Linked DNA regions of Caenorhabditis elegans. The protein of the gene in region 2 interacts with the protein of the main gene of each other region in a pairwise test. Each region holds a gene or a part of one and is shown on either strand. Other genes may lie near its edges.

Evidence for each region. Proteins that work in one complex are often made in the same cells at the same time.
Region 1: the proteins of tag-250 (region 2) and W09D6.5 interact in a two-hybrid assay, tested with the Caenorhabditis elegans proteins (one large-scale study listed by BioGRID).

Annotation. Positions count from the first base shown.
Region 1 is NC_003281.10:11,086,694-11,093,562, reverse strand, and holds W09D6.5 (uncharacterized protein), read right to left. Parts: upstream 5,077-6,869; 5' UTR 5,074-5,076; coding exon 5,039-5,073; intron 4,279-5,038; coding exon 4,179-4,278; intron 3,739-4,178; coding exon 3,655-3,738; intron 3,506-3,654; coding exon 3,162-3,505; intron 3,152-3,161; exon of another isoform or gene 3,040-3,151; intron 2,554-3,039; exon of another isoform or gene 2,442-2,553; intron 2,408-2,441; coding exon 2,197-2,407; 3' UTR 1,941-2,196; downstream 1-1,940. Other genes in the region: hmt-1 (Heavy metal tolerance factor 1), read left to right, coding at 386-942, 1,746-1,851.
Region 2 is NC_003281.10:7,917,301-7,927,773, reverse strand, and holds tag-250 (Putative protein tag-250), read left to right. Parts: upstream 1-2,852; 5' UTR 2,853-2,858; coding exon 2,859-2,952; intron 2,953-3,729; coding exon 3,730-3,853; intron 3,854-4,116; coding exon 4,117-4,198; intron 4,199-4,484; coding exon 4,485-4,572; intron 4,573-4,754; exon of another isoform or gene 4,755-4,790; coding exon of another isoform or gene 4,791-4,880; intron 4,881-4,924; coding exon of another isoform or gene 4,925-5,027; intron 5,028-5,231; coding exon of another isoform or gene 5,232-5,236; exon of another isoform or gene 5,237-5,267; intron 5,268-5,650; coding exon of another isoform or gene 5,651-5,721; exon of another isoform or gene 5,722-5,733; intron 5,734-5,856; coding exon 5,857-5,945; intron 5,946-5,995; coding exon 5,996-6,184; intron 6,185-6,493; coding exon 6,494-6,677; intron 6,678-6,683; exon of another isoform or gene 6,684-6,773; coding exon of another isoform or gene 6,774-6,837; intron 6,838-7,221; coding exon of another isoform or gene 7,222-7,431; intron 7,432-7,477; coding exon of another isoform or gene 7,478-7,539; intron 7,540-7,595; coding exon of another isoform or gene 7,596-7,634; exon of another isoform or gene 7,635-7,651; intron 7,652-7,770; coding exon 7,771-7,898; intron 7,899-7,947; coding exon 7,948-8,148; and 12 more. Other genes in the region: C29E4.13 (C2H2-type domain-containing protein), read left to right, coding at 1-98, 145-225, 275-384, 506-557, 606-722; C29E4.17 (Spiroplasma plectrovirus-related protein), read right to left, coding at 4,791-4,880, 4,925-5,027, 5,232-5,236; C29E4.14 (EF-hand domain-containing protein), read right to left, coding at 6,774-6,837, 7,222-7,431, 7,478-7,539, 7,596-7,634; gly-3 (Polypeptide N-acetylgalactosaminyltransferase 3), read left to right, coding at 10,016-10,161, 10,210-10,364, 10,417-10,473.

The sequences.
Region 1 (6,869 bases), 3.2 Mb from region 2:
TGGCTCCGCCCACATTTTTTAGAAACATTGAAGTTTTGGCTCCGCCCATTTTTGTCGGAAAAGCGATATTTTGGCTCTGCCTACATTTTCCCCGGAAAAACTATATTTTGGCTCCGCCCACATTTTTCCTGAAAGAACGATATTTTAGCCCCGCCTAAATTTTCCCCGGAAAAAAACTATATTTGGGCTCCGCCCATATTTTTTTCTTACAAAACATATTTGGCTCCGCCCACAATATTTTTCGAAAATCGATATTTTGGCTCCGCCCATATTTTTTGCTGAAAAATCGAAATGTTTAGCCCCGACCACTTTGTTTTCTTCGAAAAATTGATAATTTTCGGCCCCGCCCCCATTATATGCTATACAAAAATCGATAAATTTGCAGGTCGGCTCATCGGGATCCGGAAAAAGCACACTAATTCGACTACTATTCCGACTTTTTGAATCTACGGAAGGAAGTATTGAATTCGATGGAATTGATGTTCGAAACTATACAATGCACTCACTGCGGCAACAAATTGGAATTGTACCACAAGATACTGTACTCTTCAACGACACAATTATGTATAATATCAGATTCGGACGACCGGATGCTTCAGATGAAGAGGTTATTGAGGCGGCGAAGGCAGCAATGATTCATGAAAAGATTACCTCACTGCCTGAAGGATACGCGACAATGGTTGGAGAACGTGGGCTGAAGCTTAGTGGAGGGGAGAAGCAACGTGTCGCAATTGCCAGAACTATTCTCAAGAAGCCGCAGTTCATTTTCTTGGATGAAGCCACGTCGGCGTTGGATACACCGACAGAACGGGCGATTCAAAAGTGTTTGGAGAAGCTTTGCAAATCACGTACCGGAGTTGTGGTGGCTCATCGATTGAGCACGGTTGTCAATGCTGACCTTATTCTTGTTCTTGATAAGGGCATCATTTTGGAGAGGGGAAAGTGAGTTTATTGCCCGTAGATCTGGTTCTACTGATTTTGGGATTCCCCAGTGTCTTTGGAGAACCATTTTCTTCCGTGGTTTTGTTTCTATCGGTTTTATGATCCCAGGAACCTGTTTCTAACAGATTTAGTATTCCCCCTAACTTGCGAGATCTTTTTCCACCGTTCTTGTAGTTCACTCCAAATCGTGAGATCTCATTTCCGTCGGGAATCTGTTTCTACCGATTTCAGGGTGCGCACTTATGTACTTTTTAGATCCTATTTTCTCCGGGAATCTGTTTCTACCAATTTTAACACTCCCAGTGACTTACGAAATCCCCTTTTTCCTTGTGAATTTGTTTCTACCGGTTTAATCGTTTTTGTGAGGCCTCCAAATCAATATCAATCAATAATAGACACCATCCGTTTCCACCAGCTTCAAGATTCCCTTAAATTGCGAAGCGAAATTCTCCGGAATTTTAGTTCTACAGAATTTTAAATTCCGAGAGGCCTCACACGGAAAATTTAGTAAAAACCCTAAACTTTTCGGGAATCCGTTTCCACCGGATTTTGGATTCCCTATATTTGCAGGCTCCGCCCACAATTCCACAAAGTTTTTTCCGGTGGACACAGATTCTCGAAAACTGAAAACAATGGCTCCGCCCAAAAAAATGGACCGGTTTATGACACCTCACGATTTGAGGGAATATAGGGAATTTAAGTTTGTTAGAAACAAATTCATAGAGACCTCACCATTTCCGGGAAATGTGATATCGGTGGATCCAGATTCGCGGAAAAATACCCTAATTTTTGTCATTTTTCAGTCACAAGGAGCTTCTTGCACAACAAGGCACGTATGCCTCAATGTGGGAAGCACAAATCGCCGAGCAACGTGCCAAATCGATTGAACTCGGCGAGGAGCTTCCGTAGATCTGATGCCCCCGATTTTCCAATTCCCATTTCAGTACTAAATGTTTGTTTTGCCTGTTTTTTAGGGATCTCTTTCGTATTTTTGAGCATTTTTTCATGTTTCGAATTGATTTATTATTCTTTTTTTGTATTGCTAGAAAAAAATTAATAAATTTTTGAAAAAGAGTAGAGAAGCAAAGACAAATGTACAGCAAAATTCAGGGGGTGAAATGTGTGAGAGGACCCGAATGAACAGGTGTCAGTAGTAGAATTACAGGAAAAATTTAAAAATTATTGTCAATAGAGCGCGGTTTCAATTTTTTTTTTGGGTTTTTTCTTTTAGTAAAAATTAAAAATTAGAATTTTTCACGACAGCAAATCGATTTTCTCAATCGGCTCGGCGAGCAGCTGCTCGACACCATCGTCGTGCACATCCTGATCGTCGAGCTCGTCGCACTCGAGCAGCTGAACGCTATGGCACACGGGATTCGGGCATTCGCGGAGATCATTGAGCGCAAGGATCAGAGGATGCTTGCCGCATGTCACTTGCACTCGGCCAACACATTCGTAGCCACATCTGGAAATTTCTTATGTTTTAAAAGCTTCAGAGTTTTTGCTTCAACGGATTCCCCGAAGAAGCGGTTCCAAAAATTAATTTGCATTTCAACACATTCTTGGAAAGGTCGAAACTTAATGCTAACCTTGGTTAACTGGGTATAAACCAAATTGAGTAGAAATTGAAAGGAAGATGACTCCCCGTGTGTGCCGACATCTCGCGGGTTCCGCCCACCACTGTGTTTAGCGTGTGACTGGAAGGAGTTTGGGGGTAAATTGGGGAAATTAAGCAAAAAGTCTTAACTTGAGTGGTTTTTTCATATTTCTTTATAGATTTAATGTTGATTTAAACCGTTTTTAATTAAAAACTGCAAGATTTAATCGAAAATTCCCATTTTTGAAGCGTTTTTAGCAAAAATATTTTTTAAATTGATGGAAAACCTAAGTTTTCAACTGTTTCCATAAATTTTCTGAATTAAAACAATAATTTAACATAATATTCATAAATTTTCGTCGGGAAATACATTTTTTCCAATCTTCCAATCAAAATTAGCCAAACTCCTCCCACTCGCACGCTAAACACAGCGGCGCGCGGAACCCGCGAGATGTCGGCACACACGGGGAGTGACCTCTCCTTCATTTTCTCATATCGTTGGTTTTTACCCAGTTAACCAAGGTTAGCATTAAATTTCGACCTTTCGCAAGAACGCGTTGAAATGCAAATCAATTTTTGGAACCGCTTCTTCGGGGAATCCGTTGAGGCAAAAGATACATACCGTTTACAAACTACATGTGTATTTTTCCGATCACAAATACACTCCTTCTCATCAGATTGTGCAATCATCGGAGCAAACGCGTTCGGGCGTGACATCGAATACTTCTGTGGACCGCCCTTGACGATACGTGGCGATGAGACGGTCAACGTCGGTGACACAATTCCATTGTTTGAGCTCATTGAGGACGAGGAGCGTGACGATGGTGTCGACGATACGAGATGAAGGTCTCGCGGCGAATTTGGGTACTGTACTTGGTATGATGACGTCATCACTGGCGATTTACGTGGCGGTGGTGACGATTTTTTGTTTGATTTCGTTTGACGATTGGATTGGGGGGACTTCTCCTGGAAAAATTAATTTCGGTTGAGAATCCGAATCTTGAAAATTGTGGGCGTGGCCTAGGAAAGCCCCGCCCCTTTATTGGTAGATTTTTAAGCACAAAAATATTTACGGTCGAAAAATTAGATTTTTTTTTAATTAAAAATTATAATACCTTGAGAGAAGAAGGCGGAGCCGAGATAACGGTATCCATAAGTGGGCGGGGCTTCTGCTTCTGTTGGGCAGAAGTTTGAATTGGCTGCAAAAATTTAGGTGACTTGGAAGGAGGAAATTCGCCGAACATTTTCGAAATTGGAAAAAAGGGGCGGGCCTAATTTTTCGGATTTTCTTGGTGTAAATTTTGATGAAATCTATTGATTTTATCTTAACACGGATTTCTGGCTTCCCTCATAAATTGAAATGGAAGAGTTTGCCGAACTAGGCCATTTTGGCTCGGCCATATCTGGGGTAGATTTACGGCGCGTTGCGTGTCGCGTCGCGACTCTTTTTTAGTGTAAAACTAAATGTATTCGTCCGTGTCGAGTACACGACTTTCCCACGCGTTGTCCGGCAGGCGATTGTCAATGGAGCGCGAAAAAAATCAACGAGGAAGGCCAGAACCCCGTGATCTTAAGTCGGCAAAATTTTGTTTAAAAAACGTTTTTTAAGTTAAAGAAATATAGGCCATTAAATTCCAACCTTTTCATTTTTGTCGATAGTCGTTGGTTTTGATTGCGGGCCGCGACCACACTCGAGCAACTTCCTAGGCACATAATAGGCCTGTGTTGGGCGCTGAGTGCTGAAAAATTATATTGATTGAGTTGTGAGAGAAAAAAAAAATTTTTGATTTTTTTTTTTCGATTTTTTCAAATTATCATATCTCTGCTGAAGTTTGAGATATGAAAAAGTTGTCAACTACTAAAATGTAGTAAATTATGCAGAAAATGTTACTATATTATCAATTTAATCCTATATTTAGTTTTCGAAGAGTTATAAGCTCTCGGAGCAAGAGCATCATTTGCACATGCGAAAAAAACTGGTTCGCTCAAAACCTTCATATTTCAAAAACTGGGAAAAATATCAAAAGTTGTCAACTGACAAATTGTAGGAAAGTTTATTTACTACATTTTATTAGTTTGCTATTTTTTGATAACTTTATTGGTTTTTTAGATTTCAGTGTTCGAATTTTTAAATTATAAATTTTCAGAATTTTTACAGTTTTTTTAAGAGTATTTGTTTCAATAGTCATAAGAGGTATAAAAAAGTTGTCAGCTAAGAAAATGTAGAAAGATAAATTAACTACAAGTTTTTAGTTGACAACTGTTTAGTAGCTCAATTGGTTTTTGAGATATTGCGGTATAAAGTCAAAATTTCAGAAAAAAAGTTTAAGCTGTATCAGACTGCCATAAGAATTTTTAAAAATTTTTCTGTAAAATATTTTCAAAATATAGTTCCTAGATATATCTAAAAAGTAATAAAACATTTTTGGAAATTCAAAATTTAAAAAAAAAAAATTTTCCAAATTATTTTTTCAAAAAAAAAAACAAAAAAAAACAAACTTGGAGTGTGGTCGCGGTGTCGCTGTAACGTCCATTACCTGAAAATTATGAACTATATTTTTTAAAATCAAATTTAGAAGCAAAATGAGGTGCAAGAAAGAGTTGCAAAAAAAGAAAAAAAAGGGATGTAGAATTTTTGAAAAATTGATATCTTTTTAGTGATAGAAGGTACAAAAAGTTGTCAACTGATAAGTTGTAGAAAATTAATTTTTTACAGATTATTTCTTGTTAAATTTCTGATAACATTCAAATTGAGAAGGCCTTGATTTGATTGATTTGATTTATTTTCAACATTAAGAGCCAAAAGGTAATACATTGAAAGGTAGTACAATTTAAGGTTTAATGAGAAAATAAATTTATAAAACGAGACAACCCCAGCAAGAGTTCATCTCGAGAAATGGGTGGGGTACAGAAAACAAGAACAATAAAGAATAAAAAATATTAAAGAAAAGAAAATGGACTCGAGATCATAGATTCAATACCGGGGAATGGGAAGATCGAGAAAGTGAGAAAATTGAAAAGTTTTTGAGAAGGCCTTACTTGTTAATAAAATATATGAGAAAATTCAAAAAGAAGAATTTTTAAAAACTGGTATATAAATTCAGCCAATAAAATTATCAAAAAGTTGTTAACTAACAAAATATAGGAAATTTTATTTTCTACAATTTGTCTATTGACAACTTTTTTGCGCCTCCTATGGCTGCAAAGTTATAAGCGTTTTTCCCAATCCCCTGCCGCACAATTACAGGGCCCGGAGAGGCATGAAGCATTTATGGGGCGAGTTGAATGTAAAGACGGTTTCTGATGAAGATGATGGTAGGAATAGATAAAAAAGTATATGGAAAGATTAAGAGACACAGAGAATCGAAAAAAAAAAGAAATGGCGATAAGAATGGCGGCCGAGTGGAACATGTGTGTCGGGAATATGGAATGCTTGGTGACGTGGCAATATCTGATAAGAATCGGTTTTTTTCGCAGGGAAAGTGTGAAACTGTCTGGGAATTGATACAATAGATTTTTATTTTTATTTTTTTAGAGCTAGGAATAAAAATTTGAATTTATGAGAAAGTTTTCAGAAAAATGATTTTTTGAAAATTTGAAATTTGTCCGAGAGGAGTACACGGCAGACGCACAAACTTAAATTTAGTCCTCGCAGAGTCGGTAAAATTTTAATTTAAATTATTTGATTTTCAAAAAGTTTATAAAATCGAAAAAAAATGTGTTTAATTTTCCAGGAGGAGTACAGAATTTTTAATTTTTTCCATGGAACACTGAGATTTTCAGATTTAAAATACAGCTAACTCATCGATTTTTCAACCAAAAATTTATATTTAAAAATTGAAAATTGCAAATTGTCCACGTGAAGTACACATGCAGTCAGTGGAACATATTTGCAATTTTGAGTTGCTCCGAAAACATTTATAAACCAGTTTTAATACTATGAAATTCAAAATAGAATGTTTTCCGAACTTTTTTAACTTGGCGGCTTTACGTAGTCCGAGAGGAGTACAAAACAAGATTGAATTTTTGAAAATTGGATTTTTATAACGTTAATTAATTGTTTGTTAATGTAAATTAATAGGAATAATCAATTAGTCAAAAAATTAAAAAATTTTGGTTTTCATCCAGTATAGCATTTTTTTAATACGTAGTAACACTTTAAAAAAATGCAAAAATCTGTACTTACTTGTTGTAAAATCCGAATTAAAATTGTCACAAAAAAGTAATTAATCCAATCAGGTGAATGAAAATGAAAAGAAATCAAAGAGGTAATCAAAAATCAGTGATTGATTGCAATATTAATTCCTAACATGATATAAACAATAGTGTT
Region 2 (10,473 bases):
GCCCCTACCGTTGTTTTCATTGTAAAAAAGATGGATTTTACACTGAAGAAGAAGGTCGTTTTCATTTGAGTACAAGACATCCGAAAGATGAAGTTACGGTATGGAGCAATATAAACATTTTTTTAAAAATTTATATATTTTCAGCTATTCAAGGAATACGATCCCAAAAAAGAGACAGCCGCCCGAGAAGCATTCAAACAAATTTTTCTGATATGTAGAGATGGAGTATTTATTTTATCTTTGAGAATTGAAAAGGTTAAAAAACATTTTGCAGCCAGAGGTAACTAAAGATCGAGTTCACGAATGGGAGAGAGAAGCAGAAGTAGAAGTTATGAAGTTCGCCAACTTGAAATTCAAACGGCCAATCGTGTTAGTCAGAAAATTGTGAGTTTACAAAAAAAGTGCCGAAAAGTTTAGCATAAAACATTCTGGAATTATTGATAAACATCAAACTTTTAATTCTGATAGTAAGCTGATTTTTATTATTTTAATTTTGAAACTTCAGAACTTCACACTCACGACAAGTGCAAACGCCCACATATCAAAATATTTCATTGGTAAGGTATTTACAACGTCATACTTGTGTTCTAAAAATTTTGTTTCAGGATTCCTGTCAAATTCCACAGACTCGCCCTGAACTTCAAAATATTGCAATAAACTTTCGTCCGATGTCTGTCACAACTCCACATCAAGATCTATCCATTAATCGACGAGGTGTCTAAATTGTTTAATGTATTTGCGGGTCCTTTTTTTTTTGATAAATAAGTTCATAATTTGAATTTTTATACTTACTGAAATTCTTGAAATAATGATTTTCGATTTTCATTATTCATATTTTAATCTTTATTCAATTTTCAATTACTTCTCATTATTAACTTTAAAAAAATCTGAAAAAGAATTTATTAACTTTTTCGAGATTTCCATAATTCTTTTTCAAAATAACCAATTCCAGTTTAAAGTGACCTCCACTCATAACTAATTCCAAACGTGGCGGAGGGAAGAACCTCTATAAATTGTTCGACCTTGTCTACCCGCTTTCTTACACGCAATAAATTCATAAAACATCTTTTCCCTAATCGCACGAACATTTAGATTAGAATCGCCAACAAAATGCCGGTTTCTTTCTTATTATATTCTTTTGATTTAGTTGTATATATTAGCCGAAAATATCGAAAATCGGAAAAAATCCAATTTTTATGTTTGGAAATCGAGAAAAATCGATAAAGAATTGCTAACAAAATCAGTAATCTTAAAGGCGCGCCTTAATTTGTTAGGTTAGTTCGCAATGCGTGGCGAGACCATTCTAAAATAAATGCACCTCCTTGAAAATCGTGGAAGTGGAAAAAAGTTATATTTTCTAATTTTTGTTAGATTTCCCACGTGGATTTTAATTTCAAAATGTTTCCACTGTATCTACTGATGCAACTGCAATAGTCTCTGTCCGCCTGTACAAACATAAGCTCTTTGCAATATTCTTCAATGCTTCTCCCTCCGAAATCCCTGTGATATTTTCCGTTGTCTTCCCCTCTAAACACCCGTTCTCATCCGATGAATATTTGGCGCAAAACGGAAAAGAAAATCGACGTGTCCATCTACATGTACTGTGTTCTGTATATGTGTCTGCGTCTCTCTGAGTATAGCTCTGCTTTGCTTACTTTCCCATGCGGTCCGTATTGTCTTAACAGTTCACTTTATTTGCTTATCATTGATTAGTGGACCAGCTTGGTATTAGAAATTAGTTTTCTGAATTATTCAGATATATTTGAATTTCACCACTTTTATTTTATCCACCTACATTTCACATTCGAATAATAAAATAATAACAAATCTCATTCTTTCTTGCCACTTTTTATTCCCTCTCCTCGTTGGAACAATGGGAACAACGAGACAAGCAACCGAATATATAATTCCTTCCTTTTACAGTCTGTGTCGATGTAGTTTTTCCTGGTCTATAGTTAAACTTTCACACACGTGGAATAGGGTGTTGTGATTTCAGTTGGTACACAGGAAATGTATTTCTTTTTTTTTTTTTTTTTTGGCTTTTGAAGATTTGTTTAAATTCTAAATTTTTTGAAATAGAAGTGGTTTTGACCCTATAGTATCAGTAATCTTCTCTATATTTTTGCGAATAAAAAACGCCAAAGATCTGGATCAATGAACTCTTCGACCTTTGTTCTAATGCACAATGAACAGTCAGGCGAAGAAATTGCGAAAGAAAGTGTCAAACAAGGGCCGTGTCCATGTTTGCCTTCCGTTCATTTCCACGTCAAGACAAACTCAACTTTTTGAGTGTTTTCCCCAATTTTTTATATTGATTTATTTTTACTGTTTTCTTTTAAGAAAAGTTAACTGACAATCAAAGCTGAGACAAGAAAAATTCGAGAAACAAAAAAAGTCAAATTTGGATTTATTTCGATACTTGAACATTTTTGAGTTTGCGCTCTAACTGTAATTATTCTAGCAAATTAACCTTTGAAAAATATATCAAAAATAAATACTTGTTAGAAAAAAGTCATTTAAAAAACATATTTCTCAAAAAAATATTTTGGAAAATATGTAAAATGTTTGAAGTACACTAAGGATTTTTTTTTTGCATTTTTTGGCGCTAAAATACCAATTTTTTTGTAAAAAATTTATAAAATTGTTCTATTGTTTCACAATTCAATCCAGATACACATTGCATAAAGAAAGTATGAGTGTGTGACAAGTCTTCACCACCTTTTTCTTCTTCTTTTCCATCTAATCCCCCACTTGATTCACCCCATCTCCTTCTCGAATTACTGCTTCGATTTCTTGCCTCTGCATTCTGCATTCTCTCCAAGCAATACCTCTATTTCCATATTTCTTTCAATTTTCAGATGACAACACCGCCAGATGGCACGTCATCATCTTCGTCTGCAAAATTCATGTCGGCGGTTAATGGTTTGGTGCCGTCTACCATTTTTGATCGAAGTAAGTTTTTTTTTCTATAAATCATACAAAATGGACAGTAATGACCGAATATGACTGATAAAAAAATTATTTTATGATTTTTTCAATTTTACAAAAATAAAACTGGTGAATATGACAAATTTTAAAGCATTTTCCAGCAGAGGAAATTATTAAAAAATGTTAATTGAAAACGTTTAAAAATTAAAAAAAAATTCCTGAATTTTTAAAAATAGATTTTTCAATTTTCAGAAAAAAAAAACGTTTAAGTTGTCAGTAATGTCAGGGATTTTCAACAAAAAATTAATAAACATTGAATTTTCGATTTTTTCGTTCAATTTTCCAAAAATGGGAGGTTGTCATCAGTTTTTCAAACCAAAAATTAAAGAAAAACAAATTTAGAAAAATAATTTAAATTTTTTAACAGGCTTATTCGGCAATTACGGTCTATTTTTTTTTAATTTGAAGCAAACCTAAAAAAATTAAAAAATAGTTGGAAAATTTTGGAAAACGAGAAACTATGAAAAATCAAAATGAAAAATCTTTTTAAAAATAAATAGGCAAAAATTTTGTTATTTTAACAATCACAAAGAAAAAATCAACAAAGTATTGAAAAGCTAAATAAATTTTTTTCGTTTTTCTCTTTCCCGGCAGAAAAATTGATTTTTCTGTCGGACTACAAAAACATCACAATTCTCACACACTCAAACAGAAAACAAAAATAATCCGAAAATTTTTCCGATTTTCTACTTTTTTTTTGTTGTTTTCAAAAGTCACATTTCATCATCATAATGGTTTCAGTTAACTCGGACATGGATGTTTCGGAAGAAATGGAAGAGATTCGAGAAGTTCTATATGAGATGATCAAAACTAATTTTCCAATGGGTGTTGCAGCAACTCATCTTTCGGAAAAATATCATGAGGAGTAGGTTTTTTTTGTAGATATTTTTCAAAATGTTTTTTTCAAAGAAAAATCGAAAAAAAAAATCAAATTTTTAATAATTCCGGATCGTTTCACCACTAAAAAATACATGTTATTTTTTAATCATTAAAATATCAAAATCTATGTATTTTTGATAAATTTTCGATTTGTCGATATTTTTCTAGAAAAAGCGAAAAATTTTCGATGGCGCTCTTGATAGTAATTACTGTTTTTTTTAGAAAATTCAAAAGTTTTTTGGTTTTCAGATTTGTTTCAAAAGGACTTGGACGTGAACTTCCCGAAGATTGGATTCAGCAAGTCACTGCTGCAGAAGAGTTTGAAGCTCAGGTATATTCTAAGCTATCAAAAGTATTATATCACCTAAATTACGGTACCCGGTCTCGACGCGATTGAAAACTTAAAAGAGTGTGCGCCATTCACGAGTACGACACGAGTACGACACAAACAAAAACAAAAAAAACGACTTCAATGGTCATAACTACAGTACTCTTCACATATTGTAGCGCAAATAATTTCAAATCGTCCCGAGACCCATTATCGTAATTTTTCATGAAAACCGCTACTTTTCGAGAAATAAAGACTAAAAAATTATTCCAAAAAAAGCAATTTCCAGACACGCGGCCCCATCACCATACTGTTCGTCCGTCTCTCAAACACATCATCGTTCAAAAGACCACCCATAAATTCAGTAAATGTACGAGGTGAATGAATACATTCTGAATACATTTAAATAGACACTCAAAAAGTGAAAAGAAATAACAATTATGTGAACATGCTGTCGGAAAACGGGGACACACATACAGAATAACTGTCCTTTTCTTGTCCTTTCTATGTCTCTTTGTCCCTCGACCTAAATTATTAGTTTGAAGTGTTACTAGTAAAATTACTAATTTATTTTTATTCGAAAAATATTTAAAAATCAAATAATTAGTTTTTGCTTTTTCTTCTTCTTAGTTTCTGCTTCAGAATCCGGTGGCCTGTATGAAATTTTCAGATTGAATCCGCCCATCTAAAATATTTAGAATTAACTGAATAAATTCAAAAAGAAAATACCCTCCTAATCCGCATTGTCAAATAACCACCCATAATTATTGAGAAAAGTGTGAGCAACAGGATGGATCCCAAGAAAATCCATTCGATTATTTCATTGGGTAAACTGCAAAAAAAACGGAAAATGAGGGGTTTACTTAAAATTACTCAAAATAATCATGAAATACGAAAAAATGATGAAAATCGACAAGAAATGAAAAATCTGTCTGATAGGTTAAAAAGTGTGTATAATTTTTCATTCTTTTTTGATTTTTTAAATGATATTTCTTAATTTAAGACTATTTTAGATTCGTCGAAACAAAATTCTTACCTCATCAATAGCTTTTTGAAACACAAATTGTTAAAAAAAAAGGAAAACGTCCCTTGACAAACCACTGTTGTAAAAAATTACTACAATATGAAGTTCACGTTTTTCAAAAAAAATATACTAGAAATTAATTCTGATTATTTCAAAAGTGATGAAGTAAATAATTGCTAAATCAAAGGAACCTGTTCAAACAGTATTACAAACGATTAAATTAAAAATTCCCGCCAATTCTTCTATTTATTTACTCGGTCATAAGTATTCCCAACCTAATATATACTCACATTTCAACGACTTAATTAACATCACCTCTTTACTGTCCAATCCCCTTTATTCTTTGCTTAGCCTATCCCTTCATTGCATGAAATTGATCCCATCATCCAAAGCCTCCTGCTGCTGATGCTTCATCTAATCCCTACTTTCAGCTTGCCCAATTCGCATTAACACCACGCCCCCTCTGTCTTCTCTAACCTTAATTCGAATATGGAGGAATTGAATTCCGATTTCAGTGAGTTCTAATCGTTGTGTAATTATATACTCACTCGTAATTTGTTTTTTGTTCTGCACCAAATGTTTTCTAAAAATATTTTGTATTCTTTTTGAAACATTTAAACATTCAATACTTATTCAGTCATTTCCACGGATCGAGAACCAACTGCGGATGAGTTGAAAAAAATTAAACAAAGAAAAGAGAATGAGCCAACGGAGCATGCAAAAACGGTATGTTTTTTAAATTCAATTTTTTAAGATCAATTTTATTTAATATTCAGCTTTCTCAACAATCTGTCGCTCTAAAAGAAGGATCAACTGTGTCAATCGTCTATGCAGATTCGCCAAAGAGATTCTTTATTCGAGCTCTCGCGGATGACGATCAGTATGAAAAAATTGGAACTACGCTCGCTGAGATTTATGCTCAAGAAACTCCGCCATCGGCACTCGATAGTCGAGTTGCAATTTATGTAAGTTCATGTGCTCAACTGGCTTCCGACGAAAAAAGAAAAAAATTGAAGTTGTTGAAACAATTAAAAAACGTAAATATTTTTTGATAAACATACAAAGATGAATAAAAGAATTCAAAAACTAATATTTCGGATAACGAATTAAAAACTATAAAAAACCCGAAACTTGTAAAATATACTTTGTAGATCTACAAAAAACGTTTGGAGTTCCAAAGTGGTTTTTTGTTGCCTTTTTGGTTCGAAAAATCCAAAAAATGCCCAGCCCTGGTACTTTTACATAAATGAGACAACTGTATTCATTAATTACAGGAAATTGTGGCTGGTGGAGCTTATGCCCTTCAAGATTCGAATGGAACATGGTTTCGTGTAATTGCCAAGCAGCCACCACAATCCGGACAAGTCATGTGCCATTTTGTGGATGTTGGCGTCTGTGAGAAATTCCCTGTGGCGGCGATAAGACTCTTACCACCTGCTGTGCATCCAGTAATGTCAAGTGAGTTTTTTTAAATTTTTATTAAAATCTAAAAATAATCACAAAAATAGGTAGAAAGTTAATTTATAGAGTAAAATTAAAAAGCAATATTCGAGTCTATGAGAACTTCTTTGAATATTCGCTGAAACTGATCATCCCATCTCCATTTTTATCGAGTTCGCTGAAAATGTATATTTTTGAAATATCATTATCGATGATGAGAGCCCTTTTGTAATCGACATGGAAACGAGATGTATGGTCAATTGACAACGCTCCGCCCCCAATCCACGTATTTCGTTAGGTATTTGACGGCAAAACGTTTTCAATTAATTTCGCCGATTTTTAAGCAGTTATTTGTTTTTATTATTGTTTTTTTATAACTTCAAAATCAATAAAGCTAACGGAAAACATAACAAAACAGGCGTATAATGCTTGAAAATTATACCTAACGAGACCTATGGGTCGTGGGCGGAGCACTTTTATTTGGCAGTGTAGCGCGCTTCCACTTCAATTTCTATCATTTCAATTTCTAATAAAGACGCCTTTTTGTGCGTCTTAATAATACCTGAGAACTAGATCAGCTTGTACTTCAATCATCTCTACATCCATTTTAGTTTTCTCATCCGAGTGTTCCGTTATCATTTTGAAGAGTTCAACACCATCCAAATGATTATCCTGATTGGTGTCACCAACTTTAAAATAATAAAACTTTCGATCTTTCGATGATGTGTGCTTTTCGATTTCAATCTTGTTCCCGTAATGATCTTTTAGATGTCTAAAACAGTTAGGTTAATTCAAAAAAGGAAGTATCTCAAACTCACTCAATACTCAAATCATCATCCGAAGCGAAACTGTGTACTTTCCTATCGAACCCGTTAACGGTCTAGAAATGTCGGATTATAAAAAAATTATAATTGAAAAAAATATTTAAAAACTCACCAAAACCACTAGAGCTAACAGAAAAAGAGCGCTGAACATCTTCAAAAAGTGATACTAATTTTGATTTTTGTTTCTTTTTTGCTAACGTGTATTAACCAAGAAAAAAAATATAAAAAAGTATGAGAAATCAATTTATAAATTTCACGTTTAATTTAAAATTTCAATGAATTTTCAGTCGGATCAATGGCTCGAGAAGTTCGTATGGATGTCAGTGAAGAAGAATCATTGAGGTTGAATAATAAATTTGTTGATTTAACATTCGAGACAAAAGATGATGGAATTCAGGTTCCGATAAATCTAACAGTGAGTAATATTTATTTACAAGTATAATATCTCACGAATATTTTTTCAGCTTTCAAAGTTTGACTCCTCAGACTCCGAATCTTTACCAGTTGTAGATCTTCAAAGTTCTGATGGCTTATCAATTACCGAATTTCTTAAAAAACCATCTGGAGTTGTTCGATTGAGTACTCCAACAAAAACAACTTCACCTATTACTCCGGCTTCTGCTTCAACATCCAGTTTGACATGTCTTTTTGACAAACCTGCGACGGTAAATATCTTCTATTGATGTTTAGAAATTTTAGAATAACATTTTCAGATCCAACCAATGACCGTTGCTCAAATGCCGATGTCAGCGTTCCCAGCAAATGCAATTTTCGCTGCAGGACCCACGGACATCTCATTACGGCAACTTTCATTAGACCCGATGCCCGATTATATGTATGCAAAGTTGAAAGACGAATGTGCTCTGCCTGATTCTCAACTGGAAAGTTCTCCTGATTTTGGAGGGTGAGACTTTTTTTTTTGATTTGAAAAAATTTAAGCTAAATATTTGAAAATTTAGATTCTACGCGGCTTTTATCGATGATCGTTGGGAACGTGTTCAGTGTATTCGTGCGAGTAAAATTGGTAGGTATATTTATTTATTATTTTATTTACTGTACCAGGAAATTTTTGAAAAAAAAATTTTCGAAAATTACTGTACCAGTTCTCGACACAACAAATTTTCATTAAATACAAGAGGCTGTGCGCTTTTAAAAAGTACTGTAAATCAAAAGATCTCGTTACTTTGGAATTTTTATAGTTTTTCGTAAAAATGTTTGAAATTACAGTACTCTTTAAGACGCACACATCTTTTCATTCAACATAAATTTGTCGCGTCGAGACCGAATACCGTAACTTTGAAAAAAATTGCAAAAATAGTTTTGTAATATTGAACTGTGATTTTGGAAAAATTTAAATATCCTGTTCAAAATTGCACTTTTGAAAAAGTAAATAAAACAATTGTGAGTTTCTCAGTATATCTGAATTTTTCGCACATTTTTCCCAAAAAAAAAAACAAAACATCTACAATCTTGCTGAGTATTATACCTTTTTTCCTTGAAATGTCCATCTTTTTTTTTCAGACAAACAAGCCTATTGTGTATATCTTCTGGATGTGGGCGCTTTCCAATACGTGCGAAAAGAAGCAATGCGACGTCTCAACTCCACGTCACCATTCAAAAAAATGCTGATGTTCAAGTGTAAAATCGGAGGAATCAAACCAGTTGCTGGAGGAGAAGTTTGGAGCCGCGAGTCACATGAAGCTGTTCGAGAATTCTTTGAAGCAGCATGTGGTGAACCTGTTGTGGTAAGTCATGAAAAGAATACTTTCAAATGCAAATTAATTATTTCAGGTTGAACCAACTCAGCCTGGATGGTCTCAATGGAAACAATTAAATGCTCCAGCTGTTCCAACCTGTGAAGCTCGTTTATCTTGTTGTGGTAGAGATATTGGTGACTGGCTCATCGCGTGTGGTTTGGCTCTTCCAATAAATGCACCAATTCCAAGTCCCAATTCACAGTCACTTCTTACTTTTGTTCCAACACCAATTAATATTGTTGGCAGAAATATTTGAATATTTTCTGATCCGTCTTCATTACAAAGCTTCTAATCAATTTTGTGCTTTATTTTTTTCTAATTTTTGAATATTGTATATTTTCATAATTCCTCAGTTTTGCCGATTAGTAGTCTTTCTCTGAAAATTCAAAAATATTTGCTCAGTTTTCCACTTTTCTCTTCAGTTTTTATTCTTTCTAGTTTCATAATTCTGTGATAATTTCAGTTTTATTGTCTTTTAATTATTTTTGTGCTTCTCGTATATTTTGCTTGTTGGAATAATAATTGTTAAAAAATTTTAAAAAATTTGTTCACGGTTTATTAGTTTTGATATAAAACGTGTTCAAATAGACACGTATTAATATTTTTATTTGAATTTTTAAAACCATTTTTTTGTATTCTCTATCACAAAAGTTATCATGTTTTCAATTTTCCAGTACTATTCAAGAAAATTTAGCCTTGTTAAATAATTTTGATCGGAATTTATCTTCTTTTTTCCCCTGAATTTTTAATCATTCTCTAATTTCAGAGTAATTGAATGCTGAGTGTGGGCGGTGGTCGTTCGGCAGTATGTCGTGCTGTCATTGCCACTTCCATCGTCTGGTTGCTCATTGATGTTGTTATTCTTTTTTACTATCTCGATCCATCCACATCACAACAACAGCCATTTCCGGAGGATAACAGGTATTCTATTAAAATTATTTACATCAACTAATTGTTATCATTTTTAAGAATCTTGAATCGTGCTCGACGGATAGAACCACTACCACCAGCAGCTCAACATGATTCAGATCCAGATGCTCATCCTATTCAACCTGAAAAACAAGAGAAACAAGTTTACCCCGTTGACAAAGAAACTGCAAATCAATTGAGGAAACTTATGGAAAGTGAGCTATTGCAAAATATAAAAATTTATATTTAAACAATTGTGTATTTCAGCTCAAGCATTTGGCCCAGGGTACCATGGACAAGGAGGTACTGGAGTCACAGTTCCAG